Drosophila melanogaster: one gene and its partner. Changing the gene in region 2 together with the main gene of any one other region gives a genetic interaction. Each region holds a gene or a part of one and is shown on either strand. Other genes may lie near its edges.

Region 1 (4,561 bases), on a different chromosome or scaffold from region 2:
CATAAAATTTAGCACATATATATGTTTTTGTTAATAATTATTTTTTAATTTGCCACCCGCCGCAGACAGACAGCAATAATTAACTTTCCCGCGGGCCACCGGCAGCGTGTAAAATTCCCAATATGCATCATTTCCATTGCAGAAAGACAGGCAAAATAAAACAAAACGGCATGCAAAACTCGAAAGAAAATGAAGAAAAGAAAAACAAATCACATCACTGAATATAATTACCAAAGAGTAAGTGACTGCATGTCGTGGCGCCCAGAGAAAGAAAGAAACTGGCAAGAAAGAGAAGAATTGCTGAGAAAGGCGCACAGAAGAAAGACTTGAAGACTTGTAGACTCGGCAGCGAAGAGCCAGCTACAGTCTTTTCAAGCGCGGCTTGAGTCTTCGCCCTCTTTCTTTTGGGGCGTTCTAAATAATTTCTGTCACGCTTCGGCTTGCAGTGAAAATAAGAGTGAGTTTTGTTTTTTGTATTAGGTAAACCCTAATCCAAATGGAAAGCAAATCAGAAACGTAATTTATGCTAATTCGAAAGAAATTATTGCATAACTGCACTTCATTCCACTCATTGAGCGTATAATTGTCTTTTTTGACTTTTCAAATCGATTCGAATCGATTCCGACTGATTTTTCTCAACTGGGTGCAACGAACTCATTTTCTACGTATGCTCATTTATCGCGTGTCCGGATAATGAAGCTGCCAAACATCTGTCGCCGAGTTATTTAAGCAAAACCAATTAATTTCATTAATTAATATCAATTTGAGAGCGTACAAAAGAATTGTGCAAATAACGACGTAAGTGTACGCAGCAATATGGCTGGGAATTTATGTATTTATGTTTCTCTGCAGGACAATTCGTATCTGTTGTGATAAATCATATCCATATTCAAATATTTGCACTATTTTGTTGTGCAAATGGCAAGATTACTCGTTTCACTAAGTCGCCTGGCCATCGGAAATGGATAAAAAATAAATGTTTACCTGATTGATTGGCAGACTGACTGAGTGGCCAACTGATTGACTGAGAGTTTGCAGCTGCATGAAATTGTCAAAATGAGCGTAAAATTTATGCTCCAGCCAGCGGTAACCACAGAAAGTATCACACATATCTACATTTAAGCCATGTGTTTAATTAATGCCAGTAATTCATACATTTAATGTAATAATTTGTTCTGCAAATAAACGGGAAATGGGCCTCGCTTCGCGAAAATTAACGAGGGCTTTATAGGAAAAAAGGATATCTAGCAGGGACTCAATAAGTGGGAAAATGTTTAAATAAAATATAAAACATATGTATGTCGTTGATCCAATTTGCCATTAGCTTGAGCTAAGATCTCACAGTTATACGCAAATAGCTGTGAGCCATGACTTCACCACGTTTTGCCTTAATGAAAAGCAAATTCTCACACCCTTTTAAAAAGTCAACAAAAACGGTAAGAAATAGTTTCCCAAAAGCCAATTAGCCCATAACATGTGTAGTCGGTATATCATTAGTTTACATCTCGACGCACTCGTTGCAACAAATTTGGCCATACAAACGGAAAAAAGAGCGAATCTTTCACAATAGCGGACGCAGTGGCTCAGTTCTCTGGCCTAAACACCTTTTAATAGCCAAAATTGTTATGGGCGGCCGCAGAAACCGCCGGCCGTCGACCATCGACCATCGACTAATGAGCGGGCAGTCAAGTTGGGGGGCTCTTAACTTTTATCTGAGCTGACTTGGCCCGAACTGAGCCGAGTTGGGTTCTGTAAAAGGCCAGAACAAACACCGAAAAATGCAGGCCCACACAATGCAGTGGTAGGATGGTGGTAAGACACGGCTCTTTTGGCTACTTGAAATAGTTGAAGTGAGCTCGGCTTTTGTGGTTTTCCTCCTCTTCATCTGCCGCCCCGAGGTGCTACACCAAATGAATTATGAGAAGAATTGAAAATGAAAAACGCAATAAAAAATAGAAACAAGATTGTAGCTTTTAACTGGAGCAGAGATTGAAAAAACGACAGACGCAAGTGCACAGAGAAAAGTTTATGAAACATTTAAAATTAAATGTTGAAGTACAGTGTTTACAAAGCTTTAATACTTGCTTTTAATAAGTCTTCAAAATATAAGAAAACATTTTCAAAGTATAAATAATAAATACAAAAAAAATAAAAGGATAAATAATAGACCCCTTTTTGTATATATAAATTTTTGAAAATATTTTCAATTGATACAGTACTTGGAAGCTCATATCAGCATTCGTAACAATTTTTCATAGCTTAATTAAAAGTACTCAATCAATTTTTTAAAATAAAGTTCTTAAAGCTCGTCGATCTACATAAACCCATCTAAGTCGATGAGATTCATATTAAATTTAAGATCAAAAATATCTATTTCTTCTAGTGTAGCTGCAATTAATTTACTGGCTGGCACTACTTAAAGTCCGTCAAGAATGTTCGAACTGCTCTGGCCAGCAATTGGAGTTTTTATTTAATTTTATTTATCAAATACAACGACCCTGAAACACTATCACTTTTAGCCAGATGCGAAAAACGGAAAGTTAAGCGCTTTTTATGGAGAATCGAGAGCAGAGTATTTTTAATCTTTAGCGCTGCGGCAAACGCAATCTTCGATCTACCAACTCGATTTCGATTCTCTGGCCATTCAATGGCAATTATGACCGGTTTTCAATTTAACTGAAACTGGAACTCAATTGCATTTCCCCTTTGAAACGAACACCGTTCTCGAGTGAAAGAAATCTTTTCTCCGCCGCCTTTTTCTCGGCTGAAGACCACACTTACCGCTTGGGATACGGTATGCGCCGGTATTTGAAGGCATTTTCCACATCGCGCAGTTTCATTTTGTACGATCGCTCGGCGTTCAGAGACATCCAATGTCAATTACACAAAAAACACAATCGCTTGAGATCTTAGTTCTCGAAGACCTTTCTTGGCCGAAAGAATTTTCCGGTCGGCACTTGGGTTCACTTGAGTTCCGATTCACGATTCGAAGACTTAGAGATATAGACGTCCGTAGAGCTCGGCGATCGCGGCTTGACTGAATGTTCCTGGGGGCACTTGGCCGCCTTTTTGGCCAACTTTAAGACGTTGGCAGCGGCGGCTTACCACTGTTTGCTTTTACCATTTTCTTCGACTCTCTTTGGCTCTGTTTATTCGCTCTTTTGATCGCTCTTTGTTCGCTGGCTGACTGATTTCGTGGGGACGTGACTGTAGCCCATTTGTCTGTGGCAACATTTTTATTATTACCCCACATCTGACATTAATCTACTTAGACATATTTATTTAGGTCGTCCAAACAGCGAAGTGTCTTTATTCTCTGCGCAAGGAATCGAATTTCGGGCACTTGTTTCAATATCCTTTATTGGATCAGCTGGTTTACCGACCTTAATGGTAATTTGTTCGGTTGAATAGAACATATTGCGTGTGATCCAAACCACGTTGGCAAAAATAAGAACTTTAGTTTTTTCTATTTCTTCATAGAGGAAGGGAGAATTAGAATTAAAAACAGGTTTACCTTTGAACCCATCCCCCCCAATGGACAGTCGAAAAGTTGACCTTCCCGCTTTTGTAATTTCCATCGATTAGTTTTGGCCATTCGTACATATATAAGCGATTCTTCTCGATGTCTGTCTTCTCGCCTCGTTCGTTAGCCAAACTTCGGGATCTAAGCTTAATTTTTGCCAAACTCAAATCTATAGTTTCTACAAGAGTTGGATTCCGCGATCTCCCCACTTGCTGTCCACAAAGCTAAGCTCATTGACCCTTATTCAACAGTTGACTCTTATGGCACAGTGCCTCAAAGAAATCTTTTTTCCGATTAAATTAGAACATTTAAAAATTAAATTGAGGTACGAATTTTTAATTTACGAGAATTAATACTAGATTTCAATATATTTATACCTTTACTCTTTTATTTAAGTGTGTCTTATCATATATTACTTTAAATTATCTTTTTCAGGTACCTTAACTTTTAACTCTCACTGTAACTGACTTGTCCACTAACTGGCGTCAGACGGCTGTCGAATTTAAGCGTTTACCCATAACTATCTGCATAGGTCCACATTTTTAGGACCGACAAAAAACTGATTGTTTAGTCTTATTAAACTTTTTTTATTTCAGCAACAAGTTGAAAATTCGTGTAAATTTCTCGATAACAATTGCAAAAAAATGGAAAAACGCCAGCCTCAACATAAAAACAGCCAAAACATAAAAGTAAAATTAAAACGAAATGCGTTGGCGGCACATGTCTTGTGTTTATCTGGTAATAATTAAAGGTATTTCAGCATTTGGTACCAAGAAAGTGAGTAGCTAAAAACTTGTAAAGTTGCTGCCTATTGCATTGATGACTGTCCAAATCGACTGAGATAATTGAGCTATCTGAATGATCAGACTCTTTCTCCGATTTCGAAACTTAAAAGCCGACGAGTTGTTAGGCTGTCGGTTTTCGGGTTAAGTTTATCAGCTGTCCAATTGTGGTCGCTCACAATATGTTGGCTATATCTTCGGTCCGATGCCATGGTTTTTTGCTGCCAACTGTCCCTTTGTGGCTGTGCCGATTGCG
Region 2 (7,194 bases):
TGGCCAATGCCCAATCGACCAGGGCACGACACTGGATTTGGCCAAACGGGAAGGATACCTAATAATAGTAATTAAATTGTGGCACTTTGCCCGCCCACAACGAATCCACAAGCATTCGCATTGTTCGGCCTAACTTTGACATAGTTTATTGTGTCTGGGAATCGATAAATACTATTGATTTCCACATGTGCCAGCGCCAGCACCTCAAGACACATCGCGCATACGCCCCGCTGACAGTTGGAAAAATCCAGCGCCAGGAAGCCGAAGTCGATGCATGTTATCCTTTTGCCGGTGAAAGCCAACCACCACCCCTTTGGGGGAATGTGTTTACACTCACTAGGGTGTAATTGGTTTGCGCAGCGGGGCGAACCGAATTATTGTTAATAAGCAAATAAATTGTCCACCAGGTACTCGCTGATGGGTTCAAAGAACTTTACTTTGCTGGCATGTACTTGCATACATTTATTATACATTATCTTTTTTTAACATACATTTTTCAAATCGTTATTTCTATCTTTCTTGTTTTTTTTTTTGTGTTTTGTGTTTTGTTTTGTTTTTATTCTAGGACTAATTACTTGCATTTCTAGCTTAGGCATTAGACGTGGAAGTCAAAAATGAATATATGACACGAATATGGTTAAAATGACTCGACTTAAAGCTCTAAATTAATATGCACATTGGTCTATGTGTGGATTCAGCAGATTATAGAATAAATCAATGACCACTGATCAGTTTGGCCTGCCATTCTGTGGTGGGTGAAACTTCTTGCTGCAAAGAGAAGAGATACAATTTATATTTTTGGTCTAGTTAACAAGGAAATAATGTCAATGAAGCTGTATACATATTTAGAGTTGTAGTCTCAGTCTGAAAAGTTTGACTCTTCGAATCACAAGAAACATTATTCTTGAATTTAAGTACAATACTTGATAAAGCACAGTTCGAAAATCCGCATTCGAACATATTTTCAAGACTTCTGAATTGCAGACATTATACTATCTCATTCCGATGGATCGCGTCGTTGGCAATTTCGAGAACAAGTTTAAGCATTTGGTGAAGGCTGAAAGCAAGGGAATGGCCCTAAAGCTGGTGGGATTCTACGCCGTCGGCTGGACCCTGCGCAAGTTGGTCAAGTGAAGCGTTCGCCTTAAGTCGCAAGGATTCATTGAAATCCTCTACTTCTTGGTAGTCAGTCGTTTCTGTTCTGTACCTATTTTTAAAATTTAATGTACGAATAAATCGTGGCCTCACCTCAATATCACATTGTCGCAGCCATCGACTGGAGAATCCCATTTTCCAGAATCACCCAGTCTTCAACGCGCACTTGCAGCAGGAAGGGATCTTGAAGGAATTCTGCACCACGTCCAGTTCGCCATCACTTTTGATGCTGGCCAGGGTCTGCTGTGTGTAGTGCTGCTTGCAGATTGGATTATAGCTCTGCGGAAAGTTGGCGGCGAAGTCACAGGGTTGATCCGCTCCTCTGGAAGGGAAGGTTTGGCAATTAGCAAGGCTAATGGAATATATCATAGATTCAAGCTATAACTTACTCGCACTCTTCGATCTGGATGGCCTGTTTGTACTCATCGTTATTGACAATTAACTGCCAGGTGTCGTCCGCCCTCAAGCCCTTTTTTGGGTACACCAGCTTCCTGATGCTCCTGCAAAGGAATCGCTCGTCTGAGCCACCAACGCGAGAGCTCACATCCGTGGGCTGAAGATCGTTGCTAAAGAACTTGGCAAAGTTGTTTTTTAGCTTATGTGTGAGGCCTGAAAGGTCCGGATAGTCGTCCACATTCGTGCAGAAGTTTCTAAGGTGTTGGCTTTCATCCTTGGCGCAGGGATTGTGCTCTTTAGTGTCATTCCTCAAAGGACGAGCTGGGGATTGTGGTGGCCGATACTTGGCTATGGGGGAATCGGGGAAGACAAAGGCTAAAATTAGGCAAGCGCCAAAGGCAGTTGGCCAGTGAGTATGGGATCGATTTAGTAGTTAGTTGTAAGGCATGTTTGGGTATCGAATGTAACTGAGCATATATAGGCTAAAATACTTAGTACTTACTATCCGATGGATGTCGGGGGGGTATCGGCTGTTCGGATTGCACCTCCGTGTCCGTCCTCTGCAAAGATACGAACGTATCGTTAAAGACCAGATTCAGCTTTCCATTCGGGGAGCGCTGCACTTTGAAGTACTGATCTGGTTGGATCAGGCTGTGATACTGATGGTAATGGCGGTTCGTTTCGGGTATCGGAGATTGATTCTGATTCTGTTTCTGTTTCTGGGTCGGATCGTCGTGCTGGGTGGGTATGGGCATGAAGGGTGCACTGTCCGCGGACGTCTGTACGGGTAAAATTTACTCGTGTTAGTCTTTAGCCAATTGGCAAAAAAAGGAAGCACAAAGACAACACACAACCCAATAAGAAACCAAATGAGCAGTGAAATGGGGATGCAATATAGGATGAAGAGTAGTTATAAGAAAGCAGCGCACCAATTCGTCCTTGAAGCTATGAATTGCGTTTCACATCAAAGACACATTTTACAGAGAAATCATGCATTTGCCTATGTATACACTTACATTAAAGAGGACAACTCCCTCATCATTGGTTATTGTAAAAAGCTCTTTGATGATACGTTCATACTCCTTGGCCTCGTACTGTAGCAAAAATGGCGAAATAAAAAGACAAGACAATAGACTTTAGTCTCGGTTCAGAAGTTTTGACCACACCACAGACAAATTAAGGCTATTAAGGTGTTAAGCATAACGATACAACTGGGTCTGTTTCGGGACACTCGGGGACACTGTGCTCACACCTGTAAGTGATTAGATGCTGACTTTCCGGGTCCGCCATTGTTAATGGTAGCCAAAAGGGCCTTATAGTCTGCCACTGTTTTCTCTGCCCTCACCTCGGCCTCGTGTCGCTTCGTTAATTCGATATTGATATAAACTATCTGAAAGATACAGGTGAGAGTTTTGTTTGCAGTTCATCAACATTGCCAAGACAACGGAGTATATATTCGTGGGTCGGTGCTCGGGCTCGTTTGTTTGTCAACCCAGACTTCTCTCTCTCTCTCTCTCTATTGTCGGGCACTACATTTGCGTATTCAAAAGGTTTGAACAGCTGTTTTTCGGGCAAGCGCAGTTTTCTCTCGCAATTCTATAGTTCCGTTGAGTTAGGACCCGAACCTATATACATATAACAACAGCCAGAGTCCAAAATCAGAGTTGATAATCCCCTCGAGAGTTGCCTCTAGCTTAGCAACTTGAAAACGGATGTCCCTCTTCCGCAAGCAATAAAGACTGAATAATTGGAAAATCTAAAGGCAAGCCGATCCTGAATAAAAATCAACATAATCCAACCGGAAGGTTATTTATATAAAAGAACAAGCCAATAGTTGCTTTTAATGTATTGATAATCCGAGGACCATAATTATGCAAATAGCTTGGCGATTTTAGAATTATCAGCACTTTTAGTGCTACTCTTTAAAATATTTCTATGTTATATATATATGTATATGCAGTGATATAAATAAGCCTTGATAATAGCCCCTAATCTCGTCAAGACTTTTTATTATGCTTAAATTCTTGAATAGAGTCCATGGAATCGTCAACAGAATTTACCCAAATTAAAATTGGGTCTCGACGAGCATGTAGAAAACCCGCTTTAAGGTGCCAACCCATCTGAACTTGATTGTCTGAGAACTTTTGCGATTTCTCGGAAATGTTTTTTCCCAATCAATTAGCAATCAACCTTTTTTTAAACGCGTTCATCAGTGTTTGGCGTAGACGCAACTAAGGCAAACATTGGATCGTTTTTCCATCACAGTTTTAGGTTTTCCGTGAACCTATTGGAATTTAGCTAGAACTGAAAACGATCTTTAGAACCGGTCCGCTGCGGAATTCGCGGAAAACCGGAAAGACAAAAGTTCTCGGGCGCTTTTCAAACGGATTTTCTAACATTCGACGCCATTAATACGAACTAATTGCTTTTCTCACAGAGATGATCATACAATTTGTCCGGCAGTAAATTACTTCCAAAGTCGTGTGCAGAATGTCTGGCATTGTTTGTGTCAATTAATATTATTGTAATGCCTATGATGTGCATTTATCATATAGAGAATGAAAATTGCACATAACCTGCCGCTGGCAATGCGAACAGGTTTTCTAGTCTGTGACTAAATTTAAACTTGAAACTGCCCTTCGGCTAATGGAACTGCTAGAACAACTATGGAAAATCTAAAATAAATCTTAATAGCTAAAAAGCCCATAGCCCGAAATATATTGCAATGAAATGACAGTTATGTTAAGCATAGATTAACACGGAACAGAAAAAAACAGAAATGCAGTCGAACTTTCATAACTGGAACAAGCGAGCACCTGTTTCAAATAAACAAAAAATCAAGTTCTGGAGTCTTAAGATCTTAAGTGCTTGTCTTAAGAAGACAAGGAGACTTTAACCTTTTATCAGATTAGATAGATTTGGAATAAATTATTGTTTCGACGCAAAGATCTTTAAATTTTAAAACTTTAACTTCTTTTGAAAGTTTCCCTTATGGAGGTTCGACTGTTTTGAAATTTGTAAAATTGTAAATTTCTCACCGTGGCAAAGAAGGCGAACAGCAGCAGCAGGACTTTGAACAGCGATATCCACATGGGCGTCATCATGCTCGATCTCGGGCTTAATCAATTGGATTTATAAATATATATAGATTCTGCGGACGGCGAACGTCTGCGTCGGGGATTAGTAATAGTATATAGCAGGTGATTGGCGGATCGGTGGCGTCTTATACCAATTTTCTTATTTCTACAACTTTGTTATTATAGCGCCGGCTGCTGTTGTTTTTTAGTGATCTGTGCGTTTTTTTCTTTTTATGGGCTTTGCGTATATAAAAAATAAACAAACTGGCACGACTAAATGTTAATGCCGGGCCTTTATACTGGTAGCTGGTGTTACTGTTGCCTCTTATTTATTTATAAATATTTTGTGCGGTGGCTCTGTGTGATATGTTGGCTATTCCGTTTTGTTTGTTTCCTTTGCACGTTTGCGAGACACACAGACAGACACTTCAATTAGTCGGTTTGCTTTTCACTTTAGTTTCGCTCTCGCCGCTTTAGTGGAACCGTTTTCGGATCGGTTCGATTTGGTTGCTCTGATGAAATGCCGCGATATTGATATCGTTTATAACCGATTTGGCTTGCAACTGGGCAATGGGCTATCCAAGTAGCTGATCGCAGGATATGTGAGTCTTCAACTTTTCGGCTCTGTGCGCCGTCTTTGAGTGACACGAAAAGCTCGAGATGAATGCGCTTTTATGGACCTCAAGCCCGATACCATCTGCCACCGATCTTAAGTGTTTATAGCGACGCGCGCTGGGATTTTCCGGTCAGATCGAGAGTTTCACCATATCTCCCGGGCATGCAGAGTGTTAAGCATTAACCAAGTTCGATTTCGACTGCGATTTCGATTTGGATTTCTCGCGATCGAGAACACACGACAGCGAGAGCGCACGTCTGGGAGGCAACTGAAAATGAAAAGTGGAGCCCAGAGGCCGCCGACTCGACTCGTCTGCTCCCCCAAACAATTGCTCAGTGCTTAAGTGCAGCTTTAAGCTAGCTTGCGAGAGTGTGAGCGGGAGCGGGCGCTGTGCGCGAGCGAGACGCCGCCGGTCAGAGGCGGTGGAAGCGGGATGGGTAGTGAGCGCGAGGGTCGTGCGAGGGAGCGGGACGTCTGGGCGAGCGGACCGCGATTTTATCACAGCTGACTCCGAGCAGTGCTACTAATTGCGCCTGCTTCACGAAAAACTTTACCAGTCGGAATTATCTGAATCATATTACACTTGGAGAAAAGTAAGTGCACATCAAACTAACACTATAATGACTAACGTTTTTAATTACATCTGTTGTTAAACCAAATACAAATCACTGGAGCTTTAAGAAGAATATCAAACCCTCAATTGTACTATTTTAACACATAAGTTAAAAACATACTTTCAAAAACTAATTCCATACAAACATTTTATTCATTCTAATCAGCATAGTTGCCATAAAGCTTTGCATAAAATGTACATATCGTTTGAGTGGCATTTGACACCAAAAATTAACTTCGTTATCGCAAAATTTTTTAAAACAAATATTACGAAAAAGTTAGAGCAGCCACAGAGTAATGTTTGGATGCCTCGAAGTCAGAGCTTTGTTATCTGCGGAAGTCAATCAAAGCTGCATTTTGGATGATTAAGTTTCCGTTTGAAATAATGAATACTGTACTTAATAAACACTTATGTACAAATTTGCCCTTTTCGTCGACCCATTTTAGTAATTAACTATTATCTGTCCGCTTGTTATTGAACATACGCGATTAGAGATTTATTGCTTTTTTATTAGGTATACTTAAAGAAGCAGCGATTGAATTATCACTTTTATTTAAATCCAGAAAGAAAACAAGTTTATAGGTAGCCCGAAAATATAGAAATTTCCCCGAGCTGAAAATAACCAAACTTTGTGGCAAGTGGGTGGTTGATTACCACCTTCTCTATCGGGCTAAACCCATGTTAGCCAAGTGTAGGGCTTCTCACAGTCGGTCAAGTTGACCTGTGAGAAGGTGCCGGCCAGCACTTGTTGCTGCTGAAAGTAAAAGTGGTGCCGGGCCAAAGCTCGGCATCAAAGCTCGCGGAGCACAACTGCTCTGCTCTCGGCACCACCACCAATGAAACTATCCCCACGTTGGAGCCCATCTAATATTTCTAACACATTTGATATTCCGAACGGGTGCCGCAAACGCCAGTTCCGTTGGCGCACGCGTCATGGGAGCCGCAGATCCGAATCGCTTAAATTAGCCCGCCAGTCGCCGCCTTGGAGCGTGCTGAGGCGCTTGGGAAAGATGGTGACTCAATTGGTATTTCCGAGAACGGCGGACAAAAAACCGCATCTTTAAGTCGCACACTGCAAGTAATCGCCATGTAAACGGCATCTGACGCAGTCGTGCCTGAATGGATCTACCTTGTGTGCTTATGTTTATGGCCCAAAGTGGATGTCGTTCGCCATGGAAAAACGGGAACTTCTTAGCAGAATGCATTTTACTTGGCCATATCTACTCATAGCATAGCCTTTCCCCCGAATTATGCACCAATGACTGAGTTGAGGCCATTTCGTAGAAACATCAGCTGCACTGTTGATTCATAAGAATTTCTTTATCAATTAGTACGTA

The links. A genetic interaction does not mean that the proteins touch.
Region 1: of spz (region 2) and pip, changing one enhances a phenotype caused by changing the other (phenotypic enhancement), as found in Drosophila melanogaster (one study listed by BioGRID).

Annotation. Positions count from the first base shown.
Region 1 is NT_037436.4:19,334,561-19,339,121, forward strand, and holds the start of pip (pipe), read right to left. Parts: upstream 3,050-4,561; 5' UTR 2,871-3,049; coding exon 2,782-2,870; intron 1-2,781. UniProt on the Drosophila melanogaster protein: Sulfotransferase involved in dorsoventral axis patterning in early embryos.
Region 2 is NT_033777.3:27,064,555-27,071,748, forward strand, and holds spz (spatzle), read right to left. Parts: upstream 5,517-7,194; 5' UTR 4,656-5,516; coding exon 4,590-4,655; intron 2,942-4,589; coding exon of another isoform or gene 2,804-2,941; intron 2,646-2,803; coding exon 2,568-2,645; intron 2,331-2,567; coding exon 2,054-2,330; intron 1,927-2,053; coding exon 1,545-1,926; intron 1,478-1,544; coding exon 1,300-1,477; 3' UTR 1,249-1,299; exon of another isoform or gene 1,135-1,248; coding exon of another isoform or gene 1,006-1,134; exon of another isoform or gene 882-1,005; intron 769-881; 3' UTR 534-768; downstream 1-533. Other genes in the region: CG43935 (uncharacterized protein), read left to right, coding at 1,006-1,134. UniProt on the Drosophila melanogaster protein: The activated form, spaetzle C-106, acts as a ligand for the Toll receptor. Binding to Toll activates the Toll signaling pathway and induces expression of the antifungal peptide drosomycin.